Rattus norvegicus: one gene and its partners. The protein of the gene in region 1 interacts with the protein of each later gene in a biochemical or structural test. Links are inferred from orthologs where the notes say so. Each region holds a gene or a part of one and is shown in the gene's direction. Other genes may lie near its edges.

Region 1 (2,477 bases):
AGACCAAAGCGGGGCCGCAGGGAGGGGGTTCCGGCTGCAGGGAAGGGGCAGGGCTGCAGGAGTGGGCGGGGCTTCAGGAAAGGGGCGTGGCTTCAGAAAAGGAAACGCTCGTGAGAAGGGGCTGCAAGACAAGGTGGGGCTACAGGTTAAGGCACCAGGGAAGGGGAAGGGCAGAGTGGCTGGGTAGGATGTGTGGTCTTCCTTGACCGGTCATAACTGGGTGGAGCGTATGTGCCAGGCAGGGGACCTGAGGGGTGCTAAGTGAACAGAGCCAGACAGTTAGTTCTTAAGCCCCTGCTTCTCTCACAGAGCACAAGGGACCAGTGCAGGTGATCCAAGTAAAGGAAGACATGGTGATGGTGTTGATGGATGGTAAGAGCCTTCCTCTCTTCCCTTCCTGGTCCTCAACCCAGGTCTTTGTGCACAAAACCTTCCTTCCACTTCCTTCCAGGCTCTCTGAAGCTAGTGACCCCGGAGGGGGCACCAGCTCCCGGGCTTCGCACCCCTGAGATCCCCATGACAGAAGCGGTCGAGGCTGTGGGTATGTGTTGGATGGGAGGGCCCAGGGTCAAGGGTGGGCGCTCTGTGACCTCAGTCAGGGTCACAGGCAACTGCTTCCTCTTTAGCAATGGTTGGAGATCGACTCCAGGCCTTCTGGAAGCACGGAGTTCAGGTGTGGGCTCCAGACTCGGAACAGGTAGGCTCTCAGTTCACACCACTCCCTTGTCCTCAACCTCAACCTTCTCATCCTTTGAATGGGCTTGGAGAAGCCCTGTGTCAGAACAGAGACTCCTGTTGGGATGTCTCAAGGCACACATTGTCACCTAAGTGGAAACTGGCTCACCTCACAGAGCACTCTACGGGCTTCCCTGGTTCCTGACTTACTCTTTACAGTACAGTTGCCTATCAGATAGGGCGCCGTTTAAGCCACATGCTCAAAGTCACCCAGCTTCTGGAGTTAGACTTACCCCGAGGAAGTCATGTTTGTAGGGAGAGGGGAGGTCCTACTTCTCAGTATGGACACAAACACACTTTCTCCACAGCCGCTGCAGGAGCTGAGAGATCCCACCCTCACCTTCCGTCTGCTCTGCTCCCCGAGGTATGGCGGTGGAGGGATGAATGGGGAATAGAGAGGCTGGCGGTGCGGAGTGAGGTTTCCGTGGCCTAGAAAACCCTTCCATGTTCTCTCACTGGGTTCCCTCCCGAGGCTCCGGCTCCACGGTGACTCTCGGGAGCCTTGGCTGCCCTCAGAAGAAGCCCCTGCACTCTGCTTCCCTGCACGCCTTTAGTTTACCATTCAGGTGGGGTGTGAACTCCCCAAGGCTCCCCACTGCTGTTGCTATGAGATAGCCTATGTAGCCCTGGTTGGTCTCCAATCCCCTCTTCTCTTTTTCCACATTGGGGTTTGGGGGGCATGTGGCACGGAGGGCACCTGGAGATCAGAGGACACCTTTAGGAGGGGACGCTCTCTTTCTACCATGTGGGTCACAGAGATTGAACTTAGGTCATTATATTTGGTGACAATCACCTTTGCCTGTTGAGCCACCTTGCCAGCCCTCTTTTTTTTTTTTCTTTTCTTTTCTGAGACAGGGTTTTATAGCTCAGGCTAACCTCAGATTCCCTATGTAGCTGAGGATGACCCTGGCCTCCAGATCTGCCTGCTTCAGCCTCCCAGTTGTTGGGATTGTAGGCATATGTCACCAAGTCATTGTCAGAGCCCGCATTGGGATGGGGCAGTTTCTGTTAACTACTCTGAGAATGAACGAGTGAATGACTTGACCTTCGTCTTCTTCAGGCCTGTAGTGGTGGAAACACGGCCCACGGATGACCCTACCGCCCCCAGCAACCTCTACATCCAGGAATGAACCATTGAGAGGGCATTGAGAAACGGACACCTGCAGACCCTAAGGGACACACTAGTGGTCACAACATGTCCTTATCTCCCAATAAACTTGACTTTAGTCTTGTCATCTTGAAATTCTTGGGGGAGAGATTTCTGGATGCCTAGCCCCCCTCCCACCCGCCCCCCCCAGATTTAAATGACCCCACACAATGAGGCTGGGGGTGTAGCAGAGGCTTTATTGGTCTAGTTCAGGATCACCTGTCCCCAGCTGCCTGGGGAGGAGCTTGCAGTGGGAGAAGGCACTTGAGGTGGGGGAGGGCCAGCTGCAGACCTCAGCCAAGCTGGTCCTCATACTGCTTTCGGAAACAGTCTCCAGCAGGGAAGAAGTCCCAGCACCTCTCCTGGTACATCTTCCAGACATATGACTCCTAGGGTTGAGAGGATAAGGGGCTCTTGGTCACATCTTCACATGCCTCAAAGGATTCTCTGCTGCCTGCTGATCGTCCTCTCTGAAGACTAGTGTCCTCTCTGAAGACTAGTTTGCTGGGTACATGAGGGTAACTAGAGAACAGCCTGCCGGAATAGCTTGAGCCATGTCCCCTACTGGTCCCTCATTAGCACCTCTTACCTGACC
Region 2 (3,942 bases), on another chromosome or scaffold:
CTGGTAGTGCCACCATCACTGGTCTGGGACATGCCTTCCTGTTCATCTAATTTGGGAATGCTGTGACCAATAATCCAGCATCAGTTTTTTGTAGATTTTTCACAATGGTCATTCGTTTAACAATTTTCTGATCATTCAAGACTAGATGTGGTTTTAAGGCGGGCAAAATAAGACAGTATTCCTGTTGTAATAAAATTTCATCCTGTCCTGTTAGTGGTGGCTCACATCTTTAATTCAAGCACAGGGAAGGCAGAGCCCAGTAGATGTGAATTTGAAGCCAGCCTGGTTTATAGTTAGTTCCTGGATAGCCAGGGGCACACAGAGAATTCCTATCTTGATTGGTTGATAGATAAATAAATAAATAAATAAATAAAGAAAGAAAGAAAGAAAGAAAGAAAGAAAGAAAGATAGATAGATAGAGAGATCGGTCCTAGTGTTGTTGGAGAGAGAAAACATGTTGGGAAGGCACAGCTGGAACGGCTGAATGGCAGGAAATGAACTTTTGGAGAGAGACCAAAGGTCTGGAGCAGGCAAAACCTGCAAGCCAGATACAAGTGTTGCATTTCTCTTGCTACATCTCAGAGCCTGAAGTGGCCAAGTCACCATCATCACACTGTCCTCGTCTTAAAGCATTAGTCAAACTGACCTTCACCATCATTCCACGTGTACCAAGTAGGATCACTTAGGGTAGGCGTTATTCAGTAACCTATTTGATGGTCAACTCACTGCCTAGGTCATGCCCTTCCTAAGCCACCTGACTTATCAGGGCCTTCAGGCTTAAAAATCACCTGAGGGCCACGCCTCCCTGTCCAGACATCCAGCCATCACGCTATGCTTTGTTCCCAGAAACAGGTTTTCAAAACGCTGTTCCCTCTCGGGTCCAGTTGTTTTCCTGCTAAGCCCGGTAGGCCTTACAGCAGCAGCCACTCAGAGGCTGCTTTGCGATCCAGGAAGGGCTTGACCCTCTGCCTCCTCCCGGAACGCGGGAGCCCGCACGAGTGGCTTAGGCTGGAACCCTCGCGAACGCACTCCTGATTGGCCGCGCCCAGTGACGTCAAAGGAAGAGCCCCTGCGGTGGGGGTAGCGCCCAGCTCCGCGCAAGCGCAGATAGAGTACGCTGGACCAAGGGGGAGGTGCCCGGTCGCTTCTCCCGCGTCCGCCATTTTGTTGCTGTGGCTATTGGGAACGGGTAGGGTAGGACGGTCCGGGAGGCGCGACTGTTGTTGGAGTGCGGTGCTTCGTGTGACGGCGAGGAACCGTGCGGGCTCTTGAGGCTGCGGAGCCGGCGGCTTCCAGGACAGAAGTCGCTGGATCCTACTCCGGACAGCTGAGAAGCCCGAGGCGGCCTCTGCTACTGCTCTGTTTCGCCCACCTCGACCCAGGGGTTTTGCCCACTGTTCCCGGACCGGCTCTCTCCGAGAGGCGGCCCTGTGCAGGAGGGCGGTGGCGGAGGATGCTGCGGGGCCCGGAGCCTAGAGGAACGTCCTGACCAAGCCCTCTGATTGTTCCTCGAAGTGTTCGAGAAGAGGCCCTTCCTCGACCCCAAAGCCGACAGCGGGTAAAGGCTTCCAGAGCAAGCGAGAGCAGCAGACGCCGCCCATCCCCGGGCCCAACACCATGTCCTCCGCCAGGTTTGATTCTTCAGACCGTTCTGCCTGGTACATGGGGCCAGTGTCTCGCCAGGAGGCGCAGACCCGTCTCCAGGGCCAGCGCCATGGCATGTTCCTAGTCCGGGACTCATCTACCTGCCCTGGGGACTATGTACTGTCCGTGTCCGAGAACTCGCGTGTCTCGCACTACATCATCAACTCCCTGCCCAACCGCCGCTTTAAGATCGGGGACCAGGAGTTTGACCATTTGCCGGCCTTGCTGGAGTTCTACAAGATCCACTACCTGGATACTACCACCTTAATCGAACCAGCGCCCAGGTAGGCGAGCTCCTGCCCTTTTCGGGCTCGGAACCTGACCTGCGGAGGGTCGGTCAAAGATTGAAATTTGGGGGTGGGGGTAAGGGATACTCCCTTTTCTCATTCTGAACCAGAAGACATTCGGATTGGAAGGCCAATGTCAGGATCTGGGTTGGATGAAAGGATGCATTTTATTTAGACATTTAGTAGTGCTTGCATTGTTTAAATCACCACCACCCCCAAGCCCACACATACATAGTTTTGTCACTTTAGTTGACTGTAATACTAGTGCAAAATTCTTATTAACGACGTTAAAATATATAGACTATCTTGAGTTTCTGAAGATAGCCATGACTACTACTTTCTCGAAATTCATGTACACCATTTAAGGTTTTTGTAGCTCCTGCATCTGTCAGCTAACTGGCCTTCAGCCTTTGGAATAATCCTTAAAATAGATCGAAAGGGTAGAAATCTCAGAATCTGATGCTGTAGCACTTAAAAAAACAAAAAACCAAAAAACTGGAATTACCAAGGAAAGAGATTGAGGTTTTATTTGAGGGAATTTGTATCATCACTGTTCCTTCCGCAGGGTGCAAAGTGTATTTACCTTCATTCTACATTAATTCTGTTTTTTTGGGGTTTTTTTGTAATTAAGTCTAGTTGTTTAACATATACTTTAAAGACACCCAAGTAGCGCTAGACGGGAGAGATACACGCCCCTAATCCTCTAAGGAAAGAGGACCTTGATTCCAAGCCAAACTGAGCTGTAGCAAGACCCTGCCTTAAAGAAAAAGACACTGATCCCCAAGTGTTCTCTTTTTCAATTAAAATGCATTATTTTATAATTTGCTTTAATTTTCCTAATAATATCATCAAATGATACAAGTGTTAATTGAAAACATATCTAGACACTTTAAAAGATATTTTACTGCCCCGTTTATTTCTAAGCTATTCTAAGAAAGAATTGAGGACTGATTTAGATTTAAGGTGAGGTGACTTCATAGAGGTGAAATTTGCTCAGGACTTTGAAATTGAAAAGATAGTATAATTAATTAAAGGCACCTACTTAAATCCAGAGTTTCTTCTTGAGGATAGAAGAATAAGCTGGGATGGTACAGTGAATGTATGTACGGTTAACGGCCAAACTCTGGATTTTAGAGTGTGGAGAAGGGCTAAGTGGTGATGAGGAGGGAAAGTGTGGTCCCCAGACCCACGCAAGCGTGGAAGGAGAGAGCTGAGTCACAGAGCTGTCCCTTAGCCCGGTATGCGCATCATGGCAAGCGAGTATCCTCACACAAGTACGTTTTAAAAATGTGAACACAGAAAGGTGATTGTAAAGAGTAATGCTAGCAAGAGGAGGACACTCAAGTTCTGTGAAACATGAAGTTCCTAGGCGATGCTGGAAGGTGTAAGAGCTTGGAGAAACCTAGGAAGGATAATGTTGGGTGATACAGCTAAGTAAATTACTCTCTTATTTGTGGAAGTGGATTATATTATTGACTTCGGGCCTTTATTAAAACATGCTTGCAGCATGTGACAGGTATTGGAGAAAGTCTAAGTTATTAGAGTCACCTCAAAGAGGGGAATGAATACTGCAGTGGCTTCCTGCTATTTACAGATCTTACTCTACTTCATGTGTCTCTCAGGTACCAAATGTAATTTCCTGAGTTTTTCCTTAGCTCTACTTGACATGCATTCCTATCTTTTCTGTCTTGCTTAATTTCCAAATGAAAGAAATAACCAAGTCATAATTATTCCAAATTTGATATAACTGTCCCTTGTATAGCTGCAAATTGTACATTTTAAATTTTAGAACAGATGGCAGTGTACCTTGAGGGATACTCTTTTAGTATCTCAACTTAAATGTAATAATTACTGATATTCTCCTTTTTTTTTTTTTTTTTTGGTTCTTTTTTTCGGAGCTGGGGACCGAACCCAGGGCCTTGTGCTTCCTAGGCAAGCGCTCTACCACTGAGCTAAATCCCCAACCCCCTGATATTCTCCTAATTGATCTTATGTTGTATGGTAAAGAAAT
Region 3 (4,017 bases), on another chromosome or scaffold:
GGTCTCACTATATACAAAACGCAGTAGTAGTGGCTAGGCAGAGGTGGTGCATACCTTTGATCCCAGCACTGGGGAGGCAGAGGCAGGTGGATCTTTGAGTTCAAGGTCAGCCTGCTCTATAAAGTGAGTTCCAGGAGAGCAAGAGCTATCAGAGAAACCCTATCCTGAACACCCCACTCCCCAGTATTTTTTCATTAAAAATTTTTTTTGAGATAGATGATGATCATGAAGGAAGTGAAACTAGGAGATTCCTCTGGCTACAAATGAGAGTTTAAAAGGATCTGGCTGGTTGACATGGGAGCTCCCATAGAGAGAACTCCATTGCTTTGCCTGGCTGGACATTTTGTTTTCTTTGCCTTAAGTACCCTTCCCCACTTGCCATTCAACACCGAACCATTCAACCTACACCATCTCATCTGTGGACTCCTTGTTCTTATTTGCTTTCGTTTTATAATATAGGGCCTGAAACACAGTGATCCTCCTGTCTCAGTTTCCTAAGGGTTGGGATTACTGTCATAGTCACTTTACCCGGCCCTTGGATTCCTCTAGGATTACTTAGTTGATTTCCTTGTGTCTCTGTTTCCCATCACAGCAGACATTAATGGTTTCCTGATCCCTCCCACTGGTCTGTGAATTCGGTGACTTAAGGCTCAGTCTAGGTCAGTACTGCACCTGCAAGGCAAATGTGTTATCTATGGCTACTCCTAGATAGCAAGAACTTCGACTGACCTCCGGGGAAACCGAAGGAAACACCGGGAAAGACCAGCTTGTTAGGGAGCTTTGAGGGCATCCTGGGACCACATCATCTTTTTTACTCCAGTCCTTTTACTGGAGCTGCTACCTGTAGGTCCTGGGAGAAAGACCGCCTCTACCAATCTGTCAAACACCAGTTAGTCAAACACCAGTCAGTCTGAAGATTGAGGCTCCGCCCCTTAAACCTAGACTCCGCCTCCCCATCCTCCGCCGTTGGGGTTCTGGACCGGGCGGCGACGCCCATGAGGACGCATGCGCACTGCGGGCCCCAAGGACTCCGTTTCCCTTCTCCCAATGGCGGGCGGCGGTCCCCTTCCCGGCAGCCTCCCTCGGGTAGAGAGCGCGTCATTTCCGGTGGGGAAGGCCCGCGGCTGCCGCCGCCATTTCGGGCGCTGCTGGGAGGCTTACACCGGAGCCGGTCCGCTGGGCGGCGGGCGCCAGGGCTGGAGGGGCGCGCGTGCCGGCGGCGGCCCAGCGTGAAGGCGCGGAGGCGGCCATGGCAGGCAACTTCGACTCGGAGGAGCGGAGTAGCTGGTACTGGGGCCGCTTGAGCCGGCAGGAGGCGGTGGCGCTATTGCAGGGCCAGCGGCACGGGGTTTTCCTGGTGCGGGACTCGAGCACCAGCCCCGGGGACTATGTGCTCAGCGTCTCCGAAAACTCGCGCGTCTCCCACTACATCATCAACAGCAGCGGCCCGCGCCCTCCAGTGCCTCCGTCGCCCGCTCAGCCTCCGCCGGGTGAGGGACAGACGGGCGGGAGGCCCGGGCGGGGGTGAAGGCCCTAGAACCCTGGTCGGCTGCAGGAGGGACGTGGGCAGAGAGGGCTGGAGTGAACCTGGCGGGGGAGCTGCCTTCTGACCAAGCTGGTTCCCACCGATGAGCGGGATTGTGGGGGAGGAGGAGCTGCTCACCGAGGCCTCTGGGTGTGCCTTGGGAGCCGGGGAAGGGGAACTGCTGCGGCCCCGGGGTGGGGCTGGGCGCCAGGGTCAGGCCCAAGGGCAGGGCAGGGCAGGGCCAGGCAACTTGGGGACAAAGAGTTAATGGGGATGTTGCGGGGACATCATTTGGCAGAGATGCCCAGAATGGATCTGCTAATCCTACAAGTGGCTTTTAGGCTTGAAACGTTTCCTGCAGTGTTAGAGCTGGGTTTGGCCATACTCCCCTGGTGGCCTTCGGTAGGAAGTCACCACGTACTTGGCTGGCTGGGAGGGATGGAGACACCCTCAGGAAGCCGGTCAGCTTTTTCCTTTCTTGGGCATTTTTCCAAAATCTTTTTACCGTGCTCTTCCCTTGTGGAAGGTGGTGAACTAAGTGACTTGGTAATAGAAAAAAAGCTTTCTGTGACCAGCCCAGCGTAATTGAAGCCTAGCTGGCAAATTGTGTCCAAGAGGTTTTAAGTGTCCAAAAGACTGCCCGCTGCACGTAGAGTTTCTAGTTTCAAAGTGATTAGTGGAGGAAGGTTTTTTTTTTCCTTTAGGAAATAAACCAAGCATAGGCCAGGGAGAACAACCTTGGAAGTGAATGGAATTTCATTCTTCCTGGGCTTAAACAGTGTCAGTCAACGTACTTCTGGGTCTTTTCTTGCTAAGTTGGTGCTGTGGTCAAAATCTTCCAGGATATGAGAGCAGACCTAGCTGGCAGATACACCAAGAATAATTATCCCGCTGTGTTTTCCTCATCGAGGACCATTGAGTTGTAATTGTCTCAGCTGTATTATTGCAGTTGTCTTGGCAATGTTAAGGAAATTCATGCACTTCGTCCTTGAAGTTTGTGAGATGCACAGTGATTCTGAGATTACTGTTGTCTCTGTGTGTTGGCACCAAGCTTCTTGCTTTCTGGATGTTTGAAGTGCAAGCTTGTTCCTCCTAGAGCTGAGCTAATCTCATGAATGGAGACTCCCTGGTTAGCCGTTTAGTAGACCTCCTTTTAGGATCATCCTAATTTAGACTTACTCCCTTTGGCCACAAATGAGGAGGTAGAGGTGGGATAAACAGTTCTTGGTGTTGGCACACAAGTAAGGGGAAAATTTGAGTACTGAAGTCTTCTTAGTCTTTTTGTGTCTGTTGGTTTAATAATATAAAATCAGATACAACACAATTGCCCTAAACATAGTAAATTCTATTTTTGTGCTATCTGTAAAATAATCTGTTGTTTTGTGTTAAGGGCAGTAGTAAGATGAAATGTTATTGTTGAAATTCAATTCTCAGCCAAGTTTCATAATTCATGCTTTTAATCCCAGCACCTAGGAGGCTGAGGCAAGATTTTACAAGTTCCAGGTCATCTGGGAAACTTAGCAAGATTCTGCCTCAAAATAAAAAGTTATGTTAGGGGGTGTGACTAGGGATATAGTTGAGTGGTAGTTTATTTGCCTGACATTTGGGGAGGCTAGGTTTTATTCCCAATAGCTGGGGGTGAGGGACTCGGTCCTCAGTTTTCTCCTTGTTTGAAAATGTGGGACTAGCATCAGGCAGGCTTGTGGTTTTATATCTCGGTAGCTCCACCTTTTCAAAATAGGTGTTTGGCCTAGGAGAGGAGAAGATTGCCAGTTTGTGGGTTAGGTGTGGAAAGTTCATTGGCTTTGTGGCAATTTGTTCTGTCGTGTTCCCCATTTTCTCTGTAGGACACTCAATTCACTTGCTGTCTTTATGATGGTCACTTAATCGCTGTTCTGCCATCCATTAAACTGTTTTTCTTTTGAAGCCACACAGGAATTACTTGAGTTTTAGAGAGACATATATAATTTTAATAGTTTACACTTATTGACTGACTATTGTATGCTACATGCTTTGCTAAATGTGCCTTATATAATTCACCATCAGTAAAACAATCCAATGAGTGAAATTCTGCAATCTCCATTTATTAAAACATTTTCATTTGGAGGTGGGGAGAAGAACTAGAAATCCAGTAACCTGTAACATTTAGCATATAAACCAGAATTTGAACTAGACAGTGTGACCTGAGAACTGACTATTGTATAATTTTGGTATTCTTTGTTTATTTGCTTTGGAATCCCTGGGGTGCACATAGGGAACTCCATTCTTTTGTTTTGAAACAGGGTTTCACTCTGCAGCCCTAGCTGGTCTGCAACCATATAAACTAGGCTGGCTTTGAACTCAGGAGAATTCTTGCTTCTGCCATCTGAGTGCTCTGAGATCCCGCAGAGTGGCTCAGTAGGCAAAAGCACAGCTTTGCCAGCTTGAGGGTCTTGTTTGATCCTCAATCCCGGGGTTGGATAAGAGAAGGAACACCTCAGAGTTGTCCTGAC
Region 4 (4,006 bases), on another chromosome or scaffold:
CTATTAACATGCAACTAGGTTAAAGGCAGAGAAGTAACTTTTTAGGACTTACCGGTAGGACCTGTATTACAGCGGAAGGAAGGGGTGGAGAGGTGGTTCAGTGACTAAGAGCGCCAGTTTTCCAAGGGACCCCAGTTTCATTCCCAGCACCCACAGGGTAGTTCAAAACCATCTGTAACTTTTTTTCTGCGGATCCTATATCCTCTTTTGGCCTCCAGGGGTAGCAGGCACGCACATGATACACAAGTACACATGTACACCAAACACTCGAACACACAAAAAATAAAAATGAATAAAAGGGGAAAGGAAGATGTATTAATTCCTCGATTATTGACGATGATGTTGTGCTAGGCATGGAGTGAGGGTGGGTGGGTGCTGACACAGTTCCTCTTGTAATAGACTTTGCAATCTAGGTATATGGGTGCAGCTACGCCGGAGGCAAAACCCGTGTTTCAATAAAGTTACCTAACCTAGAGTGCTGCTTTTAGGTGCCACAGCTATACTAAGTAGCAAGGGTGTTCGGAAATAGTGAGGCAGGTTATTGGTGGCTGTAGGGCTAATTGGGAAGGAGAATCGATTTCTTAATGGCTTAGCGGGTGGCTGGGGCTGTGCCACTGCCACGCTCAACCCAAGGGCAAAGGTAACAGTGCTTTTCACAGAACTGGAAGCGGAGAGTGAAGGCTACCCACGCGCCAGGGCACTCGGAAGTTCCTCACACAGCTTATTTTGGTTGTGGTTTTAGTTAACAAACATTTTACATTTTCTCCGAGGCTTGATTTTTCTTTGTCGCTCTCTGTCCCTAAGATCTGTAGGTGGTCGGCCCTTTCAGAAGCAGGAACCAGAGTAGTTTGGGTTGAACTCGGGACCACTGTTCGACATTAATGAGCGATTATAATGACAGGTTTTAGTAGGGCTTGGAGAGGCGGAGAGTAACCAGCTACCGAGGAAGCTGGGGGAGAAAAAGGCAGTGGGGCCCAGCGAACCTCAACTTCTCCTGTCCAAACGCTGCGCAGCCTCAGCTCACTGAACAGTGAGCGCCGCGCTTGAGTGACAAGCCCGTTCGCCCAATCAGGGAGCGGCTCATTCCTCTGACGAATCAGGGGCGGGCGCCGGAGGCGAAGGAGCCTATTAGGTTAGGTGTGGAGCGGGTTTCCTGCCCGCAACGGTCCGCCCACCGGTTGCGCGCGCCCCGCCCCTCTCTGAGAGCTACGCGGCGGCGCAGCACAGGCCTCGTGCGGTAACGGCATCCGGCCAGCCGCGGTGGCGTCCCGGTGCAGTCCTCAGGTGACTGGAGCCGCGGGCTCGGCGGAGGGAAGGTGAGATGGCCTTGCCCGCGTGCGGACACACGCACCGTCCTTTCGGTCTCCTAGTCTGTCCGCGCTGCCTGCTAGTCTCTGGTCGCTTCCTCTTCCCCGGCGAAGTTAGCCCGGGGGCGCCGTCTGCTGGCGGCGGAGCGGAGCGGAGGGGGCGGGGAGGCCGCTCGGCGGAGCTCCGGTGTCCGCGGTGCCGCCCGGTGACCCCGCGCGGCCTCTGGCCTGAGCTACGAGCCCTGCTCGGGGAGCCGAGCAGGCAAGTGTGCGGCGCGCTGTCTCGGCGGTTCTCAGAAAGCCCTGTCGCGGTCTGTGGTGTGTCCGAGGCCGGGACGGTAGGGACGCGGGCTGGCAGGCAGGAAGGGCGCTCTCACCTCCAGCCGCCAACCGGAGGAAGCCGTGAGGGGGGACATCCTCGGGCGCGCCCTCCCCTCCCCCTCCCGTTCCAGAGCAGGAGAGATGGGGTTGTCTGGGGTGGCTGTTGAGGTGGGGTAGGTCCAGGAAAAACAGCCCATTGGGTTGGTTTTCGTACGGGTTTCCGCACTAGTTCGGTTCAGTCTGTTAACAGCTGGGTTGGAAGGAAGCTGGTTTTTTGTTCAGGGTTGAGGACCGTAACATCATCTTAACATTATCGCTTGGTTAATGTCGAGCGGAGCTGAAATCACCCAAAGACAATACTGCCCTTTAGTTAGGTAAGAATCCATAGGAGTTAGGAAAGAACGAGATGAAGAAAACTTCCTGACCCCCATCTTGGGTGGGGAGCAGTGAGATCAGTGTTCAGCCCAAAACGGGTAAAGTTTTGCAAGAAGTGTTCATTTTCAAAAGAGTTACTTTGATAGCTTGATGATCAATCAGCCTTAACGATTTCTTAAGCACCCTGGAAATCAGTTGCAAGCTTTCAGCCTTTAGCGACGTCACCACATGAACAGAGAGTCCAAGAAGACAGTTTGGTTTGATAATTTTCAGTCTTGTTTTTAAGTAGACCTTCTCTCCGCATCGTGATAGTAAGTCAAAGCATATGCATTGGCTGATTAGTACTTTTTTCATCATGCTCACATTGGATGTTTTCTCTGGGAAGAGCTTCTGTAGGAATTGGCTAGAATAACTTAAGCATGCATTGTGTTGATGTCTCAGCTGTATGTATGAACATTAACTTTGAAAAGACTTGCCTCCCTGTCAAGCATTTTTTGTTTTGGTTTTCCAAGCCTTACAGATCCTATGTAAACAAGTTGGCATATCAATGTATTGCTTTTATTAAACACTGAGTGATAGTTTATGCTGCTGACTTTCATAATTTGAGAACTTAGTTTTAGAGTTCAAGGCTTGATGTGATTATTGTTGTAAATAAATTCCTTTTCAGGAAAACTTGGAAAAAAAAAATGAATTCACCTTGGTAGTATTTGGAAGAATGCATGGTTTCAATGCCAGAAAACCAATGATTATTTCACTGTTAAGTAAAATTGAAGGAAACTTAAAATTAGAAATTACTGAACATTTAACAAATCCAACAGTTTGAAGAAAGTTTGACAGGCCCGGATGATTCTCACTTTAATCTGTCTGAGAAATAAAACTTAAAAGTCTTCCCTGGGGCTGCAGAGATGGCTCAGTGGTTAAGAGCACTGACTCCTCTTCCAAAGGTCCTGCGTTCAACTCCCAGCAACCACATGGTGGCTCACAACCATCTGTAATGGGATCCGATGCCCTCTTCTGGTGTGTCTGAAGATAGCAACAGTGTACTTATGTACATAAAATAAATAAATCTTTAAAAAGTCTTCTCTGCAAAACTGATGCATGCGCTGTCTTTCTTTGGTGATACATTCTGTAACATGCTTTCAGTAACCCAGACATAAACCTTTAACAGTGTCCTATTTTTTTGTAGTCGTTTTCTTTAAAAAAAAAAAAACAAAAAACAAAAAAACCTTCCCTTCCTATTCTTATATATTGTTTAAATTTCCGCTTCTGAACTGCTCACTTGCCCTAGCTGGGTTTTCTGCCTGGGTGTTCACAAATGTGTTCTGCCTGTGCTGATCTTAAAATACGACTTTGAACATATTTTTACTGTTTAGACACTAGTAATATCTTTCGTCTAGATTTCAGTCTTTTAAGAGTTTATTTTTATTTTATGCGTTTGAGTGTTTTGCCTACATAGAAGCGCACAGCATGTGGTGTGGGTTCTGGGAACAGAACGGAGATCCTCTGCTAGAGCTCTTAACCACTGAACCATCTGTCCTAGCACAGGAAGAAAGTTGTCTGCAGATTACTAAAGTAGCAAAGTAAAAGTCTCCCTTCCATAATCTCCTTCCTCCCTTCCTCACCCCTCTCTTCTCTTTCCCCTTCCTGACTCTTTCCTTCCCTCAGTTTTGGGGTCAGATCCATGGCTTCTCATAAACCACTGAGTTATATCATCAGTCTAAAGTTCTATTTTTTAAAAAAGATTATTACATTTTTGTTTGTGTGTGTGTGTGTATGTGGGGGGTGGGTGGACAGGCAATGTGCTTATGGCAGAGTCAGAGGACAGCTTGAGGGAGTCAGTTGTCTGTCCACCACATAGGTCCCTTGACTTGAACTCAGGTTTGTAGGCTTGGCAGCAGGTACCTTTACCTGCAGAGGCATCCGACACCCAACCAGAGTTATAGTTTTTACAAATAGTTAAACATTTTAAAAAGTGTGTGTGTGTGTGTGTGTGTGTGTGTGTA

The links.
Region 2: the proteins of Map4k1 (region 1) and Crkl form a complex in vitro, tested with the Homo sapiens proteins (2 studies listed by BioGRID). The link is inferred for Rattus norvegicus from reciprocal best matches to the Homo sapiens genes MAP4K1 and CRKL.
Region 3: the proteins of Map4k1 (region 1) and Crk form a complex in vitro, tested with the Homo sapiens proteins (2 studies listed by BioGRID). The link is inferred for Rattus norvegicus from reciprocal best matches to the Homo sapiens genes MAP4K1 and CRK.
Region 4: the proteins of Map4k1 (region 1) and Nck1 form a complex in vitro, tested with the Homo sapiens proteins (2 studies listed by BioGRID, with this or other methods). The link is inferred for Rattus norvegicus from reciprocal best matches to the Homo sapiens genes MAP4K1 and NCK1.

The regions. Positions count from the first base shown.
Region 1 is NC_086019.1:93,418,019-93,420,495, forward strand, and holds the end of Map4k1 (mitogen-activated protein kinase kinase kinase kinase 1), read left to right. Parts: intron 1-309; coding exon 310-372; intron 373-451; coding exon 452-541; intron 542-626; coding exon 627-697; intron 698-1,043; coding exon 1,044-1,099; intron 1,100-1,795; coding exon 1,796-1,865; 3' UTR 1,866-1,975; downstream 1,976-2,477. Other genes in the region: Ryr1 (ryanodine receptor 1), read right to left, coding at 2,176-2,271, 2,472-2,477. UniProt on the Homo sapiens protein: Serine/threonine-protein kinase, which plays a role in the response to environmental stress. Appears to act upstream of the JUN N-terminal pathway.
Region 2 is NC_086029.1:97,064,651-97,068,592, reverse strand, and holds the start of Crkl (crk-like protein), read left to right. Parts: upstream 1-1,135; 5' UTR 1,136-1,617; coding exon 1,618-1,928; intron 1,929-3,942. UniProt on the Homo sapiens protein: May mediate the transduction of intracellular signals.
Region 3 is NC_086028.1:61,027,707-61,031,723, forward strand, and holds the start of Crk (adapter molecule crk), read left to right. Parts: upstream 1-1,210; 5' UTR 1,211-1,249; coding exon 1,250-1,490; intron 1,491-4,017. UniProt on the Homo sapiens protein: Involved in cell branching and adhesion mediated by BCAR1-CRK-RAPGEF1 signaling and activation of RAP1.
Region 4 is NC_086026.1:109,955,441-109,959,446, reverse strand, and holds the start of Nck1 (cytoplasmic protein NCK1), read left to right. Parts: upstream 1-1,199; 5' UTR 1,200-1,316; intron 1,317-1,359; exon of another isoform or gene 1,360-2,314; intron 2,315-4,006. UniProt on the Homo sapiens protein: Adapter protein which associates with tyrosine-phosphorylated growth factor receptors, such as KDR and PDGFRB, or their cellular substrates. Maintains low levels of EIF2S1 phosphorylation by promoting its dephosphorylation by PP1.